Linked DNA regions of Saccharomyces cerevisiae S288C. The main gene of each other region encodes a partner of the protein of the gene in region 4 in a complex. Each region holds a gene or a part of one and is shown on either strand. Other genes may lie near its edges.

Region 1 (4,238 bases), on a different chromosome or scaffold from region 4:
CGGTGTTGAAACTTGAGGACTTCCCGGCAATCCTGTGGTTGTGTTGAAAGTCTTGAACATTTTATCTTCACCGTTTGTTTCCGTGACATCCTGATAGAATTTGACAATATCCATGACTGCTTGCATGTTTTGCTGTTGTTCTCTTTTGGAAATACCACTAGAAGTCAACAATTTTTCCCATTCCTCCGGCAAACCTGTGTACTCACCAGTCTTGGAGTCCACGCCCACATGGTGGATATGCTTGGCATTGTATGGCGTAGATATCCTCAAAGCGGTGGTTATAGAAGATGAGGAAGAATTATTGGACGACGATGAGGCCCTTTTATCATCCTGAGAATTTCTCTTTATATTCTGTACAAAGGACGTAAAGACATCTTTCATTCTTAGTGTACCACTATTTGAACCGCTTTTCCTTTTTTTCGAAGAGGAAGAATAATACGATTTTTCTGTTTGCTTTTTAGGTGGAGAGGAGTTTTTTAAAGGATTTTTCGAAGGAAAGCTTTTTTTCACAGAAACCGGTTTACTTTTTGCTTCAGGCTTGGACGGTTTAACTTTTGGTTTATGTTGCTTATGCTTAGGGTTCGAAAGCGAATGGGAAGCTGAATTGATCTGTCTTGGCGTGGTTGTCATCGATGGTTTAGAGATAACGGGAGTGGACACTGGTGTAGCCCTTCGTATATCAGTGGAGCTCTTATTCGAGTTTACTGTGGAAGATGCAACTGGCTGCTGGTGCTTCACTGTCGCGTTATTTTCTATAGTTTCTGTAGAATCTGTTAACGACAGTTTTGATAGTAAAGTGTCATTAAACTGGTGATCTGACTCGGACGCATTTATGGTAGAAAATGTGTTGTCAGCAGAATGATCCGGGGTTATATTGCTGGTATTTATGTTTGGAGTGACTGCTTCTAGAGATTTGGTTTCATCGATGTTAGAATGAGGACTCATGGATGAAGACATTCCACTGATGACAGAGGAGGAAGATACTCGGGTAAATTGAATAGGATCATCTAGTGAAACGACATTATTGTCATCATCATTGGTTGTCTCCGCGTTCTTCGCAGGATCCATGGATTTGTATCCACCAGCTTCATGGGCAGCATTAGTGCCTTTTTGTAAGGCATTGACGTTCAAAGTTCCAGTGGTCCTTGGTAATCGTAATCCATCGCCGCCATCGCCATTGCCGCCCATGGCCCTTTCATTGTCATTGCTGATACCGTTATCAAGACTGTCCTTGTCTGGTAGTTCCGATACAGCAGATGGATCATTGCTCATTTCTTGTATTAGTCGAGGATCTTGTGGGATATTTAGGATGGGGTGTGAGGCAGTGAAGGGAAGAAGTTTGGGTTGCTTGCTACCTCGCTCTAATTGTACGTACGGATGTATGTCTTTAAGAAAGTATGTAAGTGTGTGTAGTATGTGAGTATCTATGTAAGCATGCGTTGCTAATGCGAATTTACGGATGCCTCTTTTTGGTTTCGTATTTTTCCTCTCTGGCCAGGTGACTTTCTGAATTTTTCAGCTGCCAAAAGCGGTAGACTTTCGAATTCCCTCTCTTGGCCGTGTTTCGGGCCACGAGGCGAAAATTTTTTTTTTTTAATCGAAAAAAAAAGGAAAAAAAGATTAACGTTTCTTTTTCGTTCTATCGTCTTCTACGATATCGCATGTAACACAATGCAGCTATCTGATAATATGGTCCCAGAATCGCAATAGCCGGGCAGGCACGCTACTAGAAGGCGGTTCTGGATAGAATTCAACTTTAGATGGCAGACTGAGGCACTGCCGTAACACAAGGCTAAGTAGCCGCAGCTGTTGCGGTCCATCTTGTGTCGCGGTGAGATCCCACAATCCATAGACGAGTACATTAGAGTATTGCGGACCATTCGCCTGCGCTTGCATCCGGGTGAGGTACATGTATAAGTACTTTACCCGGCCCAAAAAAACTACGGATACCCGCTCCCGGCTTGCCACGTGACCTGCCACAGTGTTCGTAGTCACGTGCTCCTTCAGTCCTCCTAACTCTACGTACTTCCTGGCAGTGTCTCCAAGGACTATCACCAGTACGTTTGGGCTTGACTGATCCAGGCTCCAATCGCTTTCTACTAGCTGTTGCAACCGCTCTTCAAACTGCATATTGTATCCTGCTGCTGCTGTTGTTGCACCCGTTATTGCACCTGAGCATTAATATATGCGTATATGTATCTATCTATGTATATGTGTATGTGTAATATGTATACGTTTATGTTAATGCATAAACTGTAATGAAACGAATACTCACCCGCTTGCTCTCTCTCACGTATAACACACGCATACTGCCCTATTTTCCTGTTTATCTCGGTAAGAAAAGGCCGTGCCGGGTCAGAAAAGAGTGCAAGAAAAAAATCAATTCGGTAAGTGAATCCGAGAGATGAAATTTGTATGTCGTAGGTCACTGCTATATTTGATGGTAAATAATAATCAGTTCTGGCAAGTGTACATACGCTCGAGAGCCTGATTATCGCGGGGCACAAATACAGGTGATTCGAGAAATAAAAAGTGAGAAACGACTCTTTTCTCATGCAGAGACACGTTTTTGCGAGGAATTTCAGACGTCTTTCCTTATTGAGGAACCCTTCCCTTACCAAAAGGTTTCAGTCGTCAGCATCCGGTGCGGCCAACACCCCTAACAATAACGATGAGGTGATGCTGTTGCAACAGAAACTTTTGTATGATGAAATTAGATCAGAATTGAAGTCTCTATCTCAGGTACCAGAAGATGAAATATTACCTGAGTTGAAAAAGTCATTAGAGCAAGACAAACTCTCTGACAAAGAACAGCAGCTGGAGGCTGAATTGAGTGACTTTTTCAGAAATTATGCTCTGTTGAACAAGTTGTTTGACAGCAAGACATTAGATGGACAATCTTCTACAACGACAGCAGCAGCCACGCCAACCAAGCCTTACCCTAACCTTATACCTTCGGCCAATGACAAACCATATTCCTCTCAAGAACTTTTCTTGCGTCAACTAAACCATTCCATGCGTACCGCTAAATTGGGTGCCACTATTTCGAAGGTTTACTATCCTCATAAGGACATTTTCTATCCGCCCCTCCCAGAAAACATTACTGTTGAGAGCTTAATGTCTGCTGGTGTTCACTTGGGCCAGTCTACCTCACTTTGGAGGTCTTCCACACAATCCTACATATACGGTGAATATAAAGGTATTCACATAATAGATCTAAACCAAACTTTGTCCTATTTGAAGAGAGCCGCCAAGGTAGTAGAGGGCGTTTCGGAATCCGGTGGCATTATCCTATTTCTGGGTACAAGACAAGGCCAGAAAAGAGGGCTCGAGGAAGCTGCTAAGAAGACACATGGTTATTATGTGTCTACCAGATGGATCCCGGGTACTTTGACGAATTCTACAGAAATTTCAGGTATCTGGGAGAAGCAGGAAATCGACTCTAATGACAATCCCACCGAAAGAGCGTTATCACCGAATGAAACATCAAAGCAGGTTAAGCCTGACTTGCTGGTCGTATTAAATCCCACAGAAAATAGAAACGCTTTGTTAGAAGCAATTAAATCAAGGGTCCCAACTATCGCAATCATCGATACTGACTCCGAACCTTCTTTGGTGACCTACCCTATCCCAGGTAACGATGATTCATTGAGATCTGTCAATTTCTTACTAGGAGTCTTGGCGAGAGCTGGCCAAAGAGGCTTGCAAAATCGCTTGGCCAGAAATAACGAAAAATGAACACTTTTATTTTCTTTTGGCTTGTTAACCTAAACTTGTACATATGCCCATATATCCTTAAATATATATATATAGCCAACCCGAAGACGCTAAATAAACGCATTTTTTTTTTTTTTTACAGAATTATTACTTTCGTACTTGGGTTTATGCTTCTTATAACAACAACTATGAGCTATACCATGTTAACTTGGCCTTCATACAGGGGGGAAATCATATGATGATACGTATTCTCCTTAAGATACGTTTATTCACACTTTTCCTTAGATTCTTCATTTTCAGCGCTCTCATCAGAATCACTGTCACTTCTTTCGTCCTTTTGGATACCTTGCCATATCAATCTGTACAAGATTCTAAGAATTAAAAACAGCCAATACAGGTTAACTAATTGTAACGCAGCAATTAGTACAAATACAATTGGCAACGAAATCCAACATTTGTATTGTTGTGTGGCAAAATTCAACACATAATTACCTTCATGACGGAATTCTGTTAAGACTGAC
Region 2 (6,247 bases), on a different chromosome or scaffold from region 4:
AATGAACAGAGTGAATTTTTAGTTTGTTCTGGAGGAGGATCATACGATAGTGGGGCGATGGCCTTAGTGGTAAATCATCATGGCGACATAATAAAAGGAACTATAGTGCTAAAAAATTATCCAAGAAATGTAATTGTTGAGTTTCCCTACATAATCGCTGAGTCTGCTTTCCAGTCGGTTGACATATATTCTGCCTTGCCGAGTGAAAAATCCCAGTTGTTGCAAAGTATAACTACTTCTGGATCGGATTTAAAAATTTCAAAATCTGACAATGTATTCACTAATACCAATAATTCTGAAGAATTCAAAGAAAAAATATTCAATAAGTTGAGACTTGAGCCTCTGACACATAGTGATAATAAATTTAGAATTGAAAGAGAACGCGCCTTTGTTGAAGAGTCTTATGAAGAAAAGACCTCTTTAATCGTTTATAATAATTTAGGGATTCATTTATTAGTTCCAACGCCGATGGTCTTACGTTTTACATCATGTGAAGAGTCCGAAATTGATAATATTGAAGATCAATTGAAAAAGCTTGCGAAGAAGGATTTAACAAAATTTGAGCACATTGAAGCGAAATATTTGATGTCTCTTTTATTGTTTCTAATGACCTTACATTACGATCACATAGAAGATGAGGTAATGAAAAAGTGGTGTGACTTTTCTGACAAAGTTGACATCAGAATATTATTTTATATGTTTGGCTGGAAAGTCTATAGCGAGATCTGGTGCTTCCATGGGTTAATAAATATAGTTGAAAGGTTGAAAAGCTTGAAGCTAACTAACAAATGCGAGAATATTCTAAAAATGCTTCTGATGATGAAGAATGAACTAAAGAAAAAGAATAAAACTGGACTCTTAACGAATGACTTTGATGATATAATGAAAACTATTGATATAACTTTATTCAAATTAAGATTGGAAAAAAAGGAAACTATAACTGTTGATATGTTTGAACGCGAAAGTTACGACGAAATTATCAGAGAGATTAATTTACATGATGATAAACTTCCTAGGATAGAGTTACTAATTGAGATATATAAAGAAAAAGGGGAATATCTTAAAGCACTAAATCTTTTGAGGGAAGCTGGGGATTACATTTCACTAGTTTCATTCATTGAAGAAAATCTCAAAAAACTTCCTGAGGATTATATCAAAGAAAGAATAGCCGATGATCTTCTCCTCACTCTTAAACAAGGCGACGAAAATACTGAGGAATGCGCCATCAAAAAGGTTCTTAAAATATTGGACATGGCATGTATTAATAAAAACGACTTTTTAAACAAAATACCCGCAGAAGAAACATCCCTGAAGGTATCATTCATAGAACAACTCGGTGTCCAAAACAGCAACGATTCCAAATTTCTCTTTAACTATTATTTGGCGAAATTGCGAGAAATAATCAACCAAAGTAACATATGGTCCATTCTTGGAGATTTTATCAAAGAGTACAAAGACGATTTCGCGTATGATAAGACAGATATAACAAATTTTATTCATATCAAATTAAAGCATAGTCTTCAGTGCGAAAATTTTTCCAAATATTATGAAAAATGTGAAAACTTGAAATCGGAAAATGAAAAAGATGATGAGTTTATTAATTTCACCTTCGACGAAATTTCCAAGATCGATAAAGAACACATATTGACCTTGTTATTTTTCCCCAATGAATTAACAAACTGGGTTTCTTCCGAAGAATTGCTGAAAATATATTTGTCATTTAATGATTTCAGAAGTGTAGAAAAATACATAGGCAAGCAGAACTTGGTTGCGGTGATGAAACAATACTTGGACATATCTTCTTTGAATTACTCAGTTGAATTAGTGACTAATTTGCTACAGAGAAATTTTGAACTTTTAGATGATACAGATATTCAATTAAAGATCCTCGAAACTATACCTTCCGTATTTCCCGTACAAACAATATCCGAATTGCTTTTAAAGGTACTTATTAAGTATCAAGAAAAGAAGGAGGAATCTAATTTGCGGAAATGTTTGTTGAAAAATCAAATATCCATTTCTGACGAACTAAGCCGGAATTTTGATAGTCAAGGATAAGAAGAGCCCACCTATTCTTTTTCTGTTCAGGCATACAATTCAAATTTTATACGTACTAGATATTTACAGGTATGTAAGAATGAAATAACGATGTTTGATTTACTGTTGTAATTCAGAAATTGGTTTCATTCCAGAACAAACATCATATACCAATTTCTTTTCCTCGGAGCCCATAACAACAGATTGTAATGATAACCTCACAACTTGACTATTTTGTACGAGCTTACTCACAGTATCTTTAGATTTCGTCAGTTTTTCAAAATCTTTTTTCACATATGGTTTTAAGAGTTGATATTCTCCTGTTACTTGCCTATGAAAATCTTCTGGGTCTTCTTCAATAAGTAAATTCTGCAATTGAGGCTCTTTGGCAAAAATCAAGGAGGATCCTGGTGTATATTTACCAAAGTTTGGCGTGTTTAGGGTGAAATCATGTACTTTGAGGATTCCCAAATTTGGCGATCTGTAAATGGGGTAATTGGATTTTTTCAAGCTATCTAAGGTAAAGTTGACTAATCTGGATTCCTTTGTTGGAAAAACTTGAGGAGTATATTCTAACAAAGATAAAGGAGTGGGCTCTTCTAGTACATATTCTGAACTGACAGGTCTCTTGATAACCTTCTGTAGCTGCTGTTGAGGAGCCTTTCTCCTTTTAGATGCTGTTAAGATATGACTCTTTTTTTGAAACCTTGCTTTAGATTTGGGGGTTCCATTGAAATTAACAGGTTTTTGCTCCATCGACGAATTGAAGACATCAAGTAAATCATCTTCGACTCTCGCATCTCCTTTCAAATTATTTTTGCCATTCTGCATCTTTTTGAACTGTGGCTGCATAACTACTGTATTTCCAGTAGGATTCTTTACAAAAGACGTATTAGCACCTTTATTCCACTGCTGCTTGTTAGCACGAACAGAATCACTAGAACGGTTTTTCAGTCTCATGTTTCTTTCTCCTTGATTTCCCTCTCTACCCCTGCTTTCTTTATTGTTCATACTATTCCTATTCTGATTCCCGTTTCTCCTCTTATTTTGCATTCTACCCTCCTTCATCTTGTCCAATTTGAGAGCATTGGAGGAAGCTTTTGCTGTTGCCTCTTGAGCCCTTGCTAGAATGCTATTTATGAAATCTTCTGTGACACTTGTGCTGTAATGAGCGCGACTCACACATCTAAACATGGAGGAGCGCATTTTCTACTCCGTCTATTTCTCTTATTATGGCTCGTCCAACTAGATTATTTAATGAGTTACCGCTGCCCTTTTCCTCTTTTATGCTTTCTCCAGTTTCGTTAAGTTTAATTCCGCTATAAAGCTTTGTTCATTTCCGTCAAAAGGGATAAAGCACTAGCAACTACGCTGTTTCAGTAGCACATCAAATACAACAAGCTGTATACATGTACATACTACAAACAGAACAAATGCAACGATATATCGTGCTAAATCAGTTTATATGCCACCTAGCAAAGTTGCTAGGTACTAAAAAAGTATTTACATGTATATAGCTTCGAAGATAAAACAAAATCAAGGCATTATCATTGCTTTTTATCAGAGCATTTAAATGGTCTTGCCTTTAAGTTTGTTTTCACTCTTGCCGTAGGGTCTGCAATCGTCTCATTGTCACCCAATTCGGTGTCTTTGTGAATGTTCAAATGGTACCTAGGCTCCTTAGTACTTGAGCCATCAACCTTTTTGCCCTGAACCAGGTTTCGTCTCAAAAAAACAGCCACATCCTCTAAATGTTGAATCTGATCCTCTGTGGTGAGTTTAGGATCTGGGGGACATAACATTCCTGAACGCATTTTAGCTCTCGCGGCTAGTAATACTTCAGCATCATTCCGGAAAGCTATTCGGGTTGCTCTTAAGCCATGCCTGTATGCATTCAGGGCCTTTGTTCTCGTGCTCATAGTGTGTTAAATTTATATAATTTGTTCTTTTTATTCTCTTCAGTGAAACGCAAGCGTACCGAAAAATATAAGGAAGTCTTTTAGTCCTATCCTTTTCTCTTCCTCTCTTTCCTTTGTAGTAGGTTCACTTATTCAAACGTTTAATTTTTCGGCATTACTCACTTTAGTAAGACCAAAATTAATTAGGCTAATATAGCGAAGTACCTGTCAAAATGCGATCTATGATAAAAGCATGATGTGACGAATATCTAAAAAGGAATAAAGACTTTTTTTGCATTTAATTATTTTCTAACCTTAGATATATAATGTTATTTATTTGATTTTGTAGTAGTTGTAGGCCCATCAAGGGTGGATATGAGAATGCATTAATTTGTAAGAATCGATAATGGCTTTCAAGTGGCATACAGAACCAAGAACCACCATAATATGAAATATTTGATGAGAGCTACCGAAGAAATCGAACTTCCCTGGAGCCAAAGTTTCAGGAATCCTAAACCCGTAGATTACAGCCCCTGAAATGTAAAAGAGAGCTTCCCAAAACACAAAGCTGACTTTTATTCTGTTAAGAACCCCTTGGATACCGAACTTGAAAAACCCTGTGGTCAATGGGAGTAAGCCACTAAATCCAAACAATATGAAAAACATGGCCCTAAATGGACGAAATGTGGAAGTGTTAAACTTGTCGTGGAGGACACAGACTGTACAAAATGTTGCCAGGACTAAAGTAACAATCGTGAAAAGACTGAAGTAGGATATGTGGTCGAAGTAACCAAAGTATATTATAGGGATCATAGAACAGGAAATCAAACTGATAATCCCCAAGTAGTCGAGCTTGCTCCAGAAATTGCTTTGCTTTTCAGAGTGTTGCTTCATGCAGTGGAAACAGCTACTGCACATGAGACATGAGAAAGCGCCCATCAAGAAAATGTTTATAACGGTGTAATCGGACCAGGAAGTGGAGGGGAAAACGGGAATTAGAAAGTAGTTGGTCAACGTAATGGCAAACACGAAGTATACGATAGCCGGTACCAAATGTGTATAAATGTTCACAGTCTCGTTGTTCCAATAAAATAAAGAATATAAGCACTTTTTCCATGACAGTGTTTCACGAACGTACCCGGTGAGAATTTTGTCATTATCTTTTTGCCATTCTGGCAACTCATCGAAATTGTGTAGCAGTTTTTGCTTTTCAAAAACTGTCTGGCCTGAGACAGCTTCCACCTTAATGGAGGCTCTCGTTGCCTTGCAGCAGACACTATCTTGGTTTCTTCTTCTAGTAGTGGTGATACTCATTTTTTTTCTTCTTTTATCTTGCTTGACTCAATTAAGGCGACTAATAACAAAACGAATGACGAAAATGGAAAACAATAGAAAAGTTAGGAACCAGAATCACTTTTGTAAAGTTAATATTGCGCTTGCGGAGCTCCTTACTGTTTCAACTGATGATACTGATATGCCTTTAGAAAAGAAATCAAATTCTATTAACAGAAGGGTGCCAACATGTACGTATATATATATGTGTGCGTGTGTATATATGTCTGACATATACATGAGTAACCGGCTAAGTAAGGTTTTTACGTTGATTGCTGCATCCATCGGTCGTGAGTATTGTCAAATTGCCGATGCCCTGCAGGCAAAAAAACCGTTGAAAAATCGTTGGGAAAATGGGCTTGCCCGACTGTCGGATTTAAGGGCTTGGACCCTAAAGGTTGCATGATAAGACCTACTTATTTTAGCATATAACCCTATAAAGGTGAAAATCTCAGTAGGGTTATTTTCGTTTAAGGGAGCATGAAAAATTCAAGTTAGTACATATTAATGGCTTTGAGATATTGCGGAGTGACAACAAGAGTAATACAGAGCAGGCGAGAAAGTAACGCTGGACAGTCACTATCTGGTACAACTTGCGCACGTGTACTTGCTTGAATACTGCTACTATATCATTAATATGGGAAATAGGTCTTTGACAGAGGCAGACCACGCCCTGCTGTCCAAGCCCTTGGTACCGACATCTGCGGAACATACACAAACGCAAGAGTATCCTCGTCCTTTCGTAGATGGCAGCAATTCTCAGAGCGGGTCTGAACTACAGGCTTCTCCACAAGGTCAGTTTGGAGAAAAGGCATTGACTAGTACTAATCGCTTCATTCCCCTGGCAAATGATGACCCGGGTATGCAGCACGAGATGGGTCTTGATCCCTCAATGAGGCGTAGAAGAGAAGAATGGGCAGAACGTGGTGCGGCAAAAATCGTCAAAGATGTTGTCGACCCAGCTACGGGGGAGTTAACTA
Region 3 (6,017 bases), on a different chromosome or scaffold from region 4:
ACTATCCTTTTCACCATCATCATCATCGCCAAATTCATCAGAGTCCTTTCCATTTTTCCTGAATTTCAGCTTGTTTCTTTGACCTCTTACAGGACCACTTTTCACAGCCTCTAGATACGCATTGATTCCGCTTGTCACAGCACTCAATGGATCGTCTACATTAGTAGAGGGTTTAGGTTGCCCCTTGACAACGAGTTTTCCTTCTGAGTCAAAGTTAAACGCATCATCATTAAACCTTGCTCTATTTTGATTCTTATTGAATTTCTTTGGTCTGGTAGATGATATATGAGCTAGTGTTTGAGAATCTAACAAATCTAGTGGGTTGTCACCGGATTCTACAATAAATTGCTTTGCCCCATTCTTCATTTTGCCACCAGCAACATTTTCCTCCTGATCTGATCCATTATCATTTTCTTCATCAGACCCATAAACAGCTTCATCGAATGCAGACATAAATCTTGAACCCTTTGTGGCAGCTACATCACTAACTCCAGTAGTAACTTCTTCATCTTTACGCTTATTCCTATTGCGCATCTTTCTTATATTTGTTAATAATCTCCTATCTTCTTCAGGGAAGTTGGCTTCAATGTAGTCATATCCAAATCTCCTTATTAATCTTTCAATAATATGCTTGACTTTGGCTTTGAAATGACCAGTGTGTTCGTGAGACCATCTTAATAACTTTAGAAGTAACTCTGGCACCTTTGGCCTCATCAGTTCTTCTGGAAGCCCCAAAACACAAACCTTGGTAAACCCAATGGCGCTTTTTACAATTTCCCTAGAGTTAGAAGTTAAGTACAATTCAATGGTGTCATATATATCCATTAGTATACCGGAATCGAGTTCATTTTTGAATTCAAAAACTAAACAAGCATAACCCGTAATTGAACTACTAACCATATGTTGAGATTCACCAATAAGACCGGCAGAAATGATCTTAAAAAACTCTGATATTGACGACGATTGATCTGGAGTGGTAGGATCATAACCTGGTATTTGGAATAATTTGATAATACCATTTGGCTCATTCATTTTTCTTCCCATACAAATTAAAGTATCAAAAGCGGTCTCTCTAGATTTTTCATTCACATCCTTTGTACTCAAAATAACCTCAGCGACGGTTCTAACAATGAAATCAAGATGATCTAAAGGTAATAATTCTACTATGGTTTTAATTGCTGTTAATCTTGCAGCTTTAGCAGATGTTTGAACAGAGGAGGCGCTATCTACCATGACATTCTCAATATCCGAAATGAATTGGGCGACAGCTGTTGATCCCGATTTCAACTCAGAAAGCTTTGTAATAATTCTATAAGCTCTTTTTTGAATTAGCGCGTCAGCAGAATTTACGGTGAGGCTAAACATTGAGAATAAAGCAGAATAAGACGAGACAGGTAAGTATGTTATCATACATATGATTAAGTCCAATAGTGTCGCTGTCAATTGAGGCTTTTTCTTTTCTTTGTTCACATTTCCGCTACTTTCTTCATTCATAGAATTCTTCAAAAGACCACATACGTTGTTGAAAGTTTTCTCCAAATCTTCCTTTGAAGTAATCTTTAAATATTGATCAATCGTTTCCAAAATATAACTCCTTGCATTTGGAGTGGTTTGAGTATAAACATTGAACAAAACTGCTAGAAGATTCGTTGATTTGGTTGAAAGGTATTCTATATTCTTTTGAGCTTCAGAAATGGGGAAACGTTGCAACAATAAAACGTTGTGAGAAGAGGACTCTTCGGCATATGAAACATTGCTTTCTGCCAAGACCTTTAAAGCATGACAAATTGTAGTTCTTAACTCAACCTCGCTGTATAATAAAGAAGATAGTTCTGAGGCAAATTCGTCAGTGAAGGATTCCCTCAAGTCCATTGGGAGTTCACAAAACCGTGGAAGTGTAGACCAGATTTGGTCAACAATAGTTTGAAAAACTCTCAATTGAATAGATTCTTCCGGGACTTTATCGAACTTAGATTGAAAACTTTTAATGTATGGTGCCAATTCGTTTTGAAAAGTTGCAAGGTTCGCATTTTTCGTATAATCTCTAATAAGCGGTAACAACCAAGCCCTGCCAGGTCTTTCGGAAGATGGATTGTCTAAATTCAGGGGTGCTTCTGCGAGTATCATTTCAGGGCCCATAGCAGAAATGGAGGCTCCGATTACTAATTCGATTTCATTTCTCAAATCCATAAACTGTTCTTCATTTACTCTCCATGTATCGACTATTTTCAGTGATTTTAAAAAGTGAGGATTAGATCTATATCTGAATTTGTTGAATGCTGCCACCAAAATCTTAAGAATTTCTCTGGAACAATGGGAATATCTAATGGATAAAAAGTCGATAAATGTTTTCGCAATTTGAGAGATGATTTCATCTACGTTTTTGAAAACTTTCTCATCCACACTTGGTGTATACAATAACAAATCATCTTTAACAGACTCAGAAAGGATTGAGATAAGACATTGAGAGGCAGCTTGGTACACTTCTGGAGTTTCACTAGCTAAATATGTGCACATAATGTGAAATACACCAGGAATTTTACGTAGCGCTTTCAGTGGTTGATGTGTTGCGTAAGTGGACATACCCTTAATGACCACAGCAATCCAGGACTTGGTTAATAATGTATCGACATTTGAGGGTTTTAATGCAAAAATGGTATCCAAGACTCTTAGGTACTTATTTTCAGCCAATCCAGAAGAAATGGTAGTTTCTGCCATTGTTTTGAACATGCTTTCAAAACATTCAAATGATGCAGAAACGAGATATTGCTCTGAGCTTTTGGTGACTCCCAATAGTACATCACAAAGAGGCTCAATCTGTGAAGATGGCCACTGTCCAGTAGAGACGACTGAAGTAATCAACCTTAGAGAGCGCATGACACTAGCGTTAATGTCTTCCTTTGTTTTCTGTGCTTTCAATTGTTTATTTGATAAATTCGAGAGATCATTTAAAATACCTGCTAACTGCTTGTCACAGAAATCTGCTACAAAAACTGCCGCTACATGCTCTGCAGTTGGTGCAACAGGAGGGTTTAATAAGACCGCATGAACTGCATCTAGCGCTCTCTTTCTAACTTTTGGTCTTACATCTAAAGAAAGTTCAAGTATACCCTGCAAACCTCTTTTTGGAGTGACGTTTAGATCATAAGTATTGTTCCAGGCTTGTGCATCTTGAGCAATAAGAAGAGATTCTAAACAACCAATAGCAGCTCTAATTAGAGGGGCATTAGCCTTTTCTGCAGTGATACATGGGGCAATTTTCGTTAGGATTTCAGAAAACTTCGATCTTAATAATACCTTAGGCGAATAATGAAATATCAGATCTAGAAGATATGTAGATGAGGAAGCCAATTGAATATCTTTTATTTCATGAGTAGATGGGTCTACTGCTTGATCCAATAGTGACATAAAGGAAATGATATAATTTACAATGTTTTTTGAAACATCATTTGTAGCTTGACCTGCAATATTTTCCTCAACGGCAGTTAATATTATAGCAATATGCTTTTGATTCTCCAATTTAGAGTTTACTTGGGAACGAATTTTAGCCAGCTTGTCCTCCAGCTCTAAAAGAAAAGCAACTTTGTCTTGATCCATGATGAACTCTGAGATTTGCTGATTCAATTCGCGAGATGCTGTTCAAAATCTAGAAATTACCTGGTTGAATTCAATCAGTAAAAAAATAAGTTGAACCTTTTCAAACTAAAACTCTTCTCTGAGAGAATTAACTGCGACCGAGGAAGTTCTAATTGCGCGATGAGATGAGATGATATAATTAAAATTTTAAACACTGCAGCGAAAAGAAAAATTTTCACTAATTATGATCATCTATCATTCAGGACGGAAAAAATGAAATAGTACACCAAGAACAGTTGTAAGAAAAAAGGAAGGGGAATATATACACGACTTAAGTAACGGAGGAGTTCTGACTGGTATTCCGTTAAGAAATTGTAATAGAGTTTATCAAGTATGACCTGTGGTCTAGTACGAATAAGGTTAGCTAGATTTGGAAGAAAAAATAGTCCGGTCTATAATATCGTAGTGGCTAATTCCCGTAAGGCGAGGGATGCTAAACCGATCGAGGTACTAGGAACCTACGTGCCGGTACCCAGCCCAGTGACCAAGAGAGAATTGAAGAGGGGCGTTGTACCTATTAAAGACGTGAAGCTTGATTTTGATAGAACAAAATATTGGATTGGTGTGGGAGCACAACCTAGCGAAACAGTTACTAAACTATTACGAAAGGCTGGTATATTAAATGATGCATGGGCCACTAGTAAGAACAGCAATGTGAATAGGAAAGTTGTATTTGAAAGAATGGAAACATTGGAGTGAAAAAGATCGGAAAAAAAAAAAAAAAGAAAAAGAAAGGAAAGCAAAGGAACGTGTTTTAATTGATGCGAGGTGTATATGTATATGTTGTATATATGTTTTACTTGGCGCTTTTATATCTATCAGACTTGTAAATAATACATCTATGGCCAACCAGAAAATGGAGAATGAGACTTGAAATGGAATAAATTAAATTCTTAATCGAATGTGAAGAAAAGAGAAAGTGTAATAGAATTTCATTAAGATAGTGTCATTATAGGTCATGTATTGTGTGCTCCTGACTGTTCGGCACTATTTACCTTTTAAGACGCAATAAATCTCTTTTTAGCTTCAATGATTCATTTGGTAAAATAGAGGATTCTTCAGTGGACACGTTTGCTGTAGGTAAACGAGTACTAGCTAAGGGGGACGATATGATATTGCTACGTTGTCTCGATAGCAGAGCTATGTTAAAATTAAATGCGGAATCTGTTGTAGGCGTTGGCGTGAGTAAAGAAAAGGCATTACTGTTGCTAACACTATTGTTAGAATTTGTGCGGGCTAAGATAGGTTGTGGTTGTAATTCTGAAATATACTGGGACGAGCCATTTCTATTCTTCATTGAGACGTTGGATCTTTGTAAGGAATACCAGTTCAACGTGTTGGTCAGGCTGGTAGTAGAGCTTACATTCGGATTCGAGTTTGTGTTTGATAAGGGGATTGGATCGGTAATATCTGCGTTAACAAACGGGGAGGGAACTCTAAGCATTTCAGAAAACTGTGGTGGGGGTGGTGGGGGTAAAGAAGTTAAAGAAGTGTTACGAGAAAGATAGCCGTCTTTTCTGACCTCTTGCAACAAGCGCTGTCTTACCAATGTTAAAAGCCAGCTATTTCTGTCACATCCGATATCCAATTGTTGAAGCTCAGATTGCTGTATAGCCGCTTTGGCAACTCTATTCAATATTCCTGAGGGAGGGTTTGTAGTATCAAACGGAGTTATCGTAGGATCGCTGCACGTGTTTTGGTAAACTTCTAATAGAAGGCCGACAAACTGCGGTGTGAACGAAGTGAATTGAGCGTTATTGTTGTAAAAGGTATGTTGTTTGAAATTCTGAGCGAAATCGGAAACGGAACTCGCCAGCGAAGAGGCGCTATTCTGTCTGGTTCTATTAGCATTGAGGTAAGGTGGAAAATACGAGGCATCCGAGCTTTTCGCCTGATTGGAGCTGCTATTATTTATAGGAGTCATTACCGGAGTGAAAACGGGAGTGGACAAGTTTCTGTCAAATGCAATCATGTCATCGTAATCACAATTTAACAACGGCTGAGGGTCCTGAGTTTGATGTTGAGCTTCTGGTTGGATGGGCAACGCGTCTTCGGGCTTGCAATTCTTGTCCTTATTTTCTTGAGATCGCCTAGAAGAGCCGGCGTGTAATCTCTTGTGCAATCTTTCCAGCAGCATTCTATATCCTATTAAACTGGTTCTAGTTCGCTTTACTAAGAAGGGAATTACAGGTTGAAGCTAGGGGGAGGAAAATACACGCTTCTATAATAGCATTCTTATATATGTTTATCTACAAGGGAAATAGAGCTATACGAAAAAAATAGAAACAGAGACAGCAACAGGAAACAGAAACAGAAACAAAAACAGAACTTTGTTTAAAGTTCGGAGTTCAAGCGTCATTTCTACACTAGTTCTTGATGAG
Region 4 (6,212 bases):
GATCTGAAAAATTTTTCCTTCGCAATACTACTATAATTTAGCTCATCGCATATTTTGCAATAATATAATACAGGGAATAAACTGCATTGGTTCAGTGAGACGGTGGTATAATTGCGAAGTGACCAAATTGTAATGAGTGACAGTTCTGTGAGGGAAAAGAATGATAATTTCCGTGGCTATCGGAAAAGAGGAAGACAAGAACTGAGGAAGATTAAAAGATCTTCTGCCAGAACTGAAGGCGGAAGCACAGAAACATTAGAGGACGTAGCAGAAGATATTGACCATAGATCCGATGAGGATGAAGTGTCCGATGTCGACAGTGGCGATGATTTCGATATTGAGGATGAAGAGGGTAAAAAGGAAAAAGTTTATGACGCTTTATTGACGATTCTCAAATCTGAACATCCAGAGCCAAAAAGAAGAAGGCGAGAGGCTGACGAGAGTAACAAAGCTCCTGCCGAAGTTGGGGAGGATGAGCACGAAAATACAGAACATGGACCAGTGGATGATCAATTGGAGATAGAGAATGGCCTTTTGGGTAATCACGAGGATGATAACGACGATGACAGCAGTGGAGACGAAAAAGATATAGACAGTGAAGATGAGCAAGATCCTTTCGAGTCTCATTTCAACCAAGTTCCGGAGAAATTCGTTGATAAGTTGTCGAATGCTTTCAAGACCAAAAGTGTAAAATACAAATCCGTAAAGGGCTCACTAAGTGACAGTGAATCATATATATATGCTAAACCGGTAGTAATTGGTGAGGAAGCATTGGTGGAAAGTCCGTACAGGTCATCATCTATATATTCATACTTTTTGAAACAAAGGCTAAAAGTGCAAAATGGACTATTGGATAAAAAAACTGATCCATTGACTGCTTTGCAAAAAAAATTAGTAGACCCCATGTTTCAGTATAAAGACATATTATACGAGTATGACTCCTACGAAAAGGACGAAGACGAGTACAGAGATTTATATGCTTTGCATGTTTTGAATCACATCTACAAGACAAGAGATAGAATCTTGAAAAATAATCAAAGATTACAGGATAACCCAGACACTGAACACCTAGATCAAGGTTTTACAAGACCAAAAGTGTTAATTGTAGTCCCTACTAGAGAGGTGGCGTACCGCGTTGTAGATAAGATAATTTCAAAATCTGGTATAGATCAGGTTGACAAGAAGGGAAAGTTCTACGACCAATTCCGTGACGACTCCTTACCTCCAAAGTCCAAACCAAAATCTTTCCAACACATATTTAGGGGGAACACCAACGATTTTTTTGTTGTCGGTCTCAAATTCACAAGAAAGGCTATAAAACTTTATAGCAATTTTTACCAGTCTGACATTATTGTATGTTCGCCATTGGGTATTCAAATGATCTTAGAAAATACAGATAAAAAAAAGAGGCAGGACGATTTTTTGTCCTCAATAGAGTTGATGGTGATTGATCAATTACATTCAATAGAATACCAGAACATATCTCATATTTTCACCATCTTTGACCATCTTAACAAAATCCCGGATCAACAACATGAAGCTGACTTTAGCAGAATTCGGATGTGGTACATTAATGAACAAGCTAAGCTCTTCAGACAGACAATGGTATTCACAAAATACATCTCGCCAGCGGCTAATTCATTAATCAATGGTAGATGCCGTAACATGGCAGGAAGATGGAAGAATCACAAGGTAATAGGATCAGAAAACTCCAGTATTGGGCAATCCGGTTTGAAAATCAGGCAAATCTTTCAAAGATTTGACATTATTGGGAATTCGATTATTGAAGAGCCTGACTACAGATTTAAATTTTTTACAAGTGTCATCATTCCTGGTATTGTCAAATCCACCGGGTATGAAGACGGAATACTGATTTACATTCCTGATTACACTGATTTCATTCGTATTAGAAACTACATGAAAGAGAAGACGACGATTTTATTTGGGGATATAAATGAGTACTCTAGCCAAAGACAGCTCAATGCAAATAGGTCATTGTTTCAACAGGGGCGTCTAAAAGTTATGTTGTATACGGAAAGACTGCACCATTATAGACGTTATGAAATCAAGGGTGTCAAGAGCGTCGTTTTTTATAAGCCTCCAAACAATCCTGAATTTTACAATGAAGTTGTCAGATTTATTGGTAAGAACGCCTTTCTAGGTAATACCGATTTAAACATATCCACTGTTAGATGCATTTATAGCAAGCTTGATGGTCTTTCACTCGAAAGAATTGTGGGGACGAAAAGAGCAGCTGTATTATCGCATGCACAAAAGGAAATTTATGAATTTAAATAAATATTAGCACTGCCACAATGTATAGAGTACACAATGAAGAATATTATCATTCACAAATACTTTTAATCGCTTTCTTTCTTGTTCGTTGTGTTCACAAGAAAAGGGTTTATTACTTCAGGGAACTTTCTGCTCTTAGTTTCTATATTTTCGCTTTTTGCTGAACCAGTTGCTTTATTGGTCTCTGCGTCTACCCTCTTGGACCTAGTAATACATTGAATACTATCAAAGCTTGCAGGTGATCGGAGAGTCGCATTTATGGTTTCATGCGGTGATATATAATTAGAAGGACGGTCATTAAAATGTGCACTCCTCGTGCGCACAGCAAAGTTATGCAGTGGGTAGCACTTTCGAGTTTTCAAATTAAGCATTTTGCTGTCTTCGTAAATGTTTCCTGGAATATTTCTGAGGCCCGCGATACGGCTTAGCCTATTTATTTCCATAGACACTCCAGGGCTTTTGAAGCTTTCTGATGGATTTAACTTTTTCTCCTTTTCGTTTGTCATGAACGGATTAAACTGGGCAATATCTTTAACCTGGCTACTCTTGCTGATTTCATTTTTTTTTACTGGATTACTAACTGTCGCAGAGCTTGTGGGCGGAAACATATACTCTGTTGAGGAGAAGCTATTCGATATACCACTATCTAGAACGCTCCCGATCTTTGTGCCCTGAATTTCAGCGTTTTTTTGAAATATATTTGATGTTATAGGTTGTAGTGAGTTTTTCTTGACGGCGCAGCACCTCTCATTCAAAGAACGTGAGTTTCCATCCATACGTTCATCATAAGTTGTAGTTTCCTCCTTCGTGCCTAAAACTTCATCATTAATTAGGTCAATATTAATTGTGCCTGTAACCAAACTGCCGCTATTCAAAATCGATATTGGCTCCACTGCACATTGTTGAGATTTACTGTTTTTAAGATTCGTATGGAGATCGCTTAAATTGGTGTGTCCATTTTTTGATGTGTATGCATTGGCAGAAACATTCCTAGATGTAAGAATATTCTTTTCCTCATCCATGACAAGAAAGAGCCGCATTCCAGGTTCATTTTGTTTCCGACGTTTAGGATCGGGTATGTGTTGACTGTTCTTATCAAAGTAATTTTTCTTATCACTCTTTTCAATAACCTTATTCTTACTTATAGTTTTAGTATTCGATAATTTGCTAACGATAGCAGTATTCTTACTCTTTGGAGTACAAATGTCGGAATCCCTCGTATTTTTATACCGGTATTTTTTATGATTAGATGCTCTCTTCGCAAATTCACAGGCAGTTATCAATAGTGCTAAATTCAAAGTCATTGGGAATGCACAATTTTCCAGTTGCTTTTGCAACTGTGGCTCCAATTTTGTGAGGAATAGATCCAACGCAGCACCAGAAGACAGATAATATGGAGTTAGACGTCCCGATTTATGGGCAAATGCTTCTAATGACTTCTCAGAATCAATGGACAACGTCAATAGTTCCGTAAAAATTTCCCTTCTTAAAGATCTTGCTCCATCAAATTCTTCTGATAGTAGAGCAAGAAATTTTTCAAAACTGTAAGCCTTTATCACATGGTCATCGATTCCCTCCGTTGTAGAATCAAACCATGTCTTAGCCCGGCCGGATAATGCAGAGCTTATAAGAAGTTTCAAAAACGTTCCTGTACAGCATAGTCCAAATAAGATATCTGTAATATCATCGGCCCATTGGACGAATATATTGTTATCATCACCGTCTTCAGCACTGAATTTTTTCAGATGACTCACTTTATCTAGCATTTTGAACGCTTGTTCATCGTCATCAATCTGTCTTGTAACACAAAAATTATTACACGCTATGGGCAAAGTTTCGCTCCTCTTTCTACGTCCACTGTGTCCCTTCTTGCTTCGCGGCGGCAGGGTATTTCCATTAGCTATTGTATCACTATAGTTATTAGTTCCCGACTCGTATGCCATGTTTTTGGATCTCATTTGCACCATTAAGCAAAAAGAATCTGTTGAACGAGGACCCTAACCCAAGACAGCTAATATACTGCTTTTTTATGACATTTTTCATTTGGTCTTCATTCTTGCGCATCTTCTTTGAGAGTTGAAATTTCTTTGATACTTCGGCAATTACAGAAAAGTGCAAGTTACAAGCAATAAAACCAATAATATTTAGATACTGCACAAAAGTCTAAGAAAATAACCTCATTAGAAGCTTGGAAAAGGAAGAAGGACATTGCGCACCATTCAAGAAGAAGATCTTAGAATTCTGAGAAATGAAGATACAAACAAATGCTGTAAACGTCCTTCAACGGACGTCCGCTTACTTGAAATCAGGATTGTTGAAAGAAACACCTGCGTGGTACAACGTTGTAGCGTCTATCCCACCATCAACCAAGTTTACACGTGAACCTCGTTTTAAGAATCCTTCCAATGGACACATCATAGGAAAACTTGTTGACGTAACAGAACAACCGCATGCCAACAATAAGGGACTTTACAAGACAAGACCCAACTCGAGCGACAAAAGGGTGGGCGTGAAAAGGCTGTACAGGCCACCTAAACTAACATACGTTGAGGATAGGCTCAGATCGCTCTTTTACAAACAACATCCATGGGAGTTGTCGAGACCTAAGATTTTAGTGGAAAACGAAATTGGTGATGAAAACTACGATTGGAGCCATATGCTTCAGATAGGAAGACCACTCGATGGTGAAAGTGTTATCCAGCGAACTATGTACTTAATCAAAACGAAGCAGTATGGGGACATGGTCGAAGCATATGACCATGCCAGATATGAATTCTATGCGTTGAGAATGCAAGAAGAAACAGAGCAGCAAGTGGCTTTGGAAGAAGCGGAGATGTTCGGATCCCTCTTTGGAGTTTCTGCCATTGAACATGGTATACAAAAGGAACAAGAGGTCCTAGACGTCTGGGAAAAGAAGGTAGTTGAAGAAACTGAACTAATGGCAGCAAGGACAAGTAACCCTGCAGGGTCGTGGAAGGACGACACTACATTGAATACGGCGCAAGAAGAAGAATCCACCACTTCCGAGAACCTCCACTTCTAGGTGGGCTGCCTCTTTTCTCCAACGTCACCTAACCAACCTGTATATAATTAAAAACAAACGAGAACAACACATGTAGTGCTAAGTAATTGTCGTTCTCAAATTCCACCTCGATTTTTTCAACTGCACTGAAAATTCCCACTCTTTTTTTTTTTTTTTTTTTTTTTTTTCACTTTTTTCCCGTGGAAAAATATTCTTAAGATGACTCTAATTAGAGGAAAGAACAACAAGAAACTAAACTGGTTCTACAGTTATATAAGGACATCTTAACTGATTTAGAATTAGCTAAGACTGTATCTATGCGATTATTATATTAGTGCGACATATTTATATAACTAAGATAGTAACGCACTCAAAAAGATGTTTAGATCTGTTGCTACTAGATTATCTGCCTGCCGTGGGTTAGCATCTAACGCTGCTCGCAAATCACTCACTATTGGTCTTATCCCCGGTGACGGTATCGGTAAGGAAGTCATTCCTGCTGGTAAGCAAGTTTTGGAAAACCTTAACTCCAAGCACGGCCTAAGCTTCAACTTTATTGATCTCTACGCCGGTTTCCAAACATTCCAAGAAACAGGAAAGGCGTTGCCTGATGAGACTGTTAAAGTGTTGAAGGAACAATGTCAAGGTGCTCTTTTCGGTGCAGTTCAGTCTCCAACTACTAAGGTGGAAGGTTACTCCTCACCAATTGTTGCTCTAAGGAGGGAAATGGGCCTTTTCGCTAATGTTCGTCCTGTTAAGTCTGTAGAGGGAGAAAAGGGTAAACCAATTGACATGGTTATCGTCAGAGAAAATACTGAGGACCTGTACATTAAAATTGAAAAAACATACATTGACAAGGCCACAGGTACAAGAGTTGCTGATGCCACAAAGAGAA

The links.
Region 1: RSM25 (region 4) and MRP4 share a complex: the UniProt entries of both Saccharomyces cerevisiae proteins name them as parts of the mitochondrial small ribosomal subunit.
Region 2: RSM25 (region 4) and RSM28 share a complex: the UniProt entries of both Saccharomyces cerevisiae proteins name them as parts of the mitochondrial small ribosomal subunit.
Region 3: RSM25 (region 4) and MRPS16 share a complex: the UniProt entries of both Saccharomyces cerevisiae proteins name them as parts of the mitochondrial small ribosomal subunit.

The regions. Positions count from the first base shown.
Region 1 is NC_001140.6:96,666-100,903, forward strand, and holds MRP4 (mitochondrial 37S ribosomal protein uS2m MRP4), read left to right. Parts: upstream 1-2,553; coding exon 2,554-3,738; downstream 3,739-4,238. Other genes in the region: mitogen-activated protein kinase kinase kinase kinase STE20, read right to left, coding at 1-1,272; SHU1 (Shu1p), read right to left, coding at 1,678-2,130; YHL005C (uncharacterized protein), read right to left, coding at 2,163-2,555; sphingosine N-acyltransferase LAG1, read right to left, coding at 3,983-4,238. UniProt on the Saccharomyces cerevisiae protein: Component of the mitochondrial ribosome (mitoribosome), a dedicated translation machinery responsible for the synthesis of mitochondrial genome-encoded proteins, including at least some of the essential transmembrane subunits of the mitochondrial respiratory chain.
Region 2 is NC_001136.10:1,433,926-1,440,172, reverse strand, and holds RSM28 (mitochondrial 37S ribosomal protein mS46 RSM28), read right to left. Parts: upstream 3,244-6,247; coding exon 2,158-3,243; downstream 1-2,157. Other genes in the region: CORVET complex subunit VPS3, read left to right, coding at 1-2,058; MZM1 (Mzm1p), read right to left, coding at 3,585-3,956; IZH1 (PAQR-type receptor), read right to left, coding at 4,299-5,249; serine/threonine protein kinase PKH1, read left to right, coding at 5,905-6,247. UniProt on the Saccharomyces cerevisiae protein: Component of the mitochondrial ribosome (mitoribosome), a dedicated translation machinery responsible for the synthesis of mitochondrial genome-encoded proteins, including at least some of the essential transmembrane subunits of the mitochondrial respiratory chain.
Region 3 is NC_001148.4:527,303-533,319, reverse strand, and holds MRPS16 (mitochondrial 37S ribosomal protein bS16m MRPS16), read left to right. Parts: upstream 1-3,969; coding exon 3,970-4,335; downstream 4,336-6,017. Other genes in the region: mRNA-binding protein RRP12, read right to left, coding at 1-3,597; CIP1 (Cip1p), read right to left, coding at 4,628-5,773. UniProt on the Saccharomyces cerevisiae protein: Component of the mitochondrial ribosome (mitoribosome), a dedicated translation machinery responsible for the synthesis of mitochondrial genome-encoded proteins, including at least some of the essential transmembrane subunits of the mitochondrial respiratory chain.
Region 4 is NC_001141.2:187,116-193,327, reverse strand, and holds RSM25 (mitochondrial 37S ribosomal protein mS23 RSM25), read left to right. Parts: upstream 1-4,543; coding exon 4,544-5,338; downstream 5,339-6,212. Other genes in the region: rRNA-binding ribosome biosynthesis protein UTP25, read left to right, coding at 133-2,298; YIL092W (uncharacterized protein), read right to left, coding at 2,361-4,262; LYS12 (homoisocitrate dehydrogenase), read left to right, coding at 5,696-6,212. UniProt on the Saccharomyces cerevisiae protein: Component of the mitochondrial ribosome (mitoribosome), a dedicated translation machinery responsible for the synthesis of mitochondrial genome-encoded proteins, including at least some of the essential transmembrane subunits of the mitochondrial respiratory chain.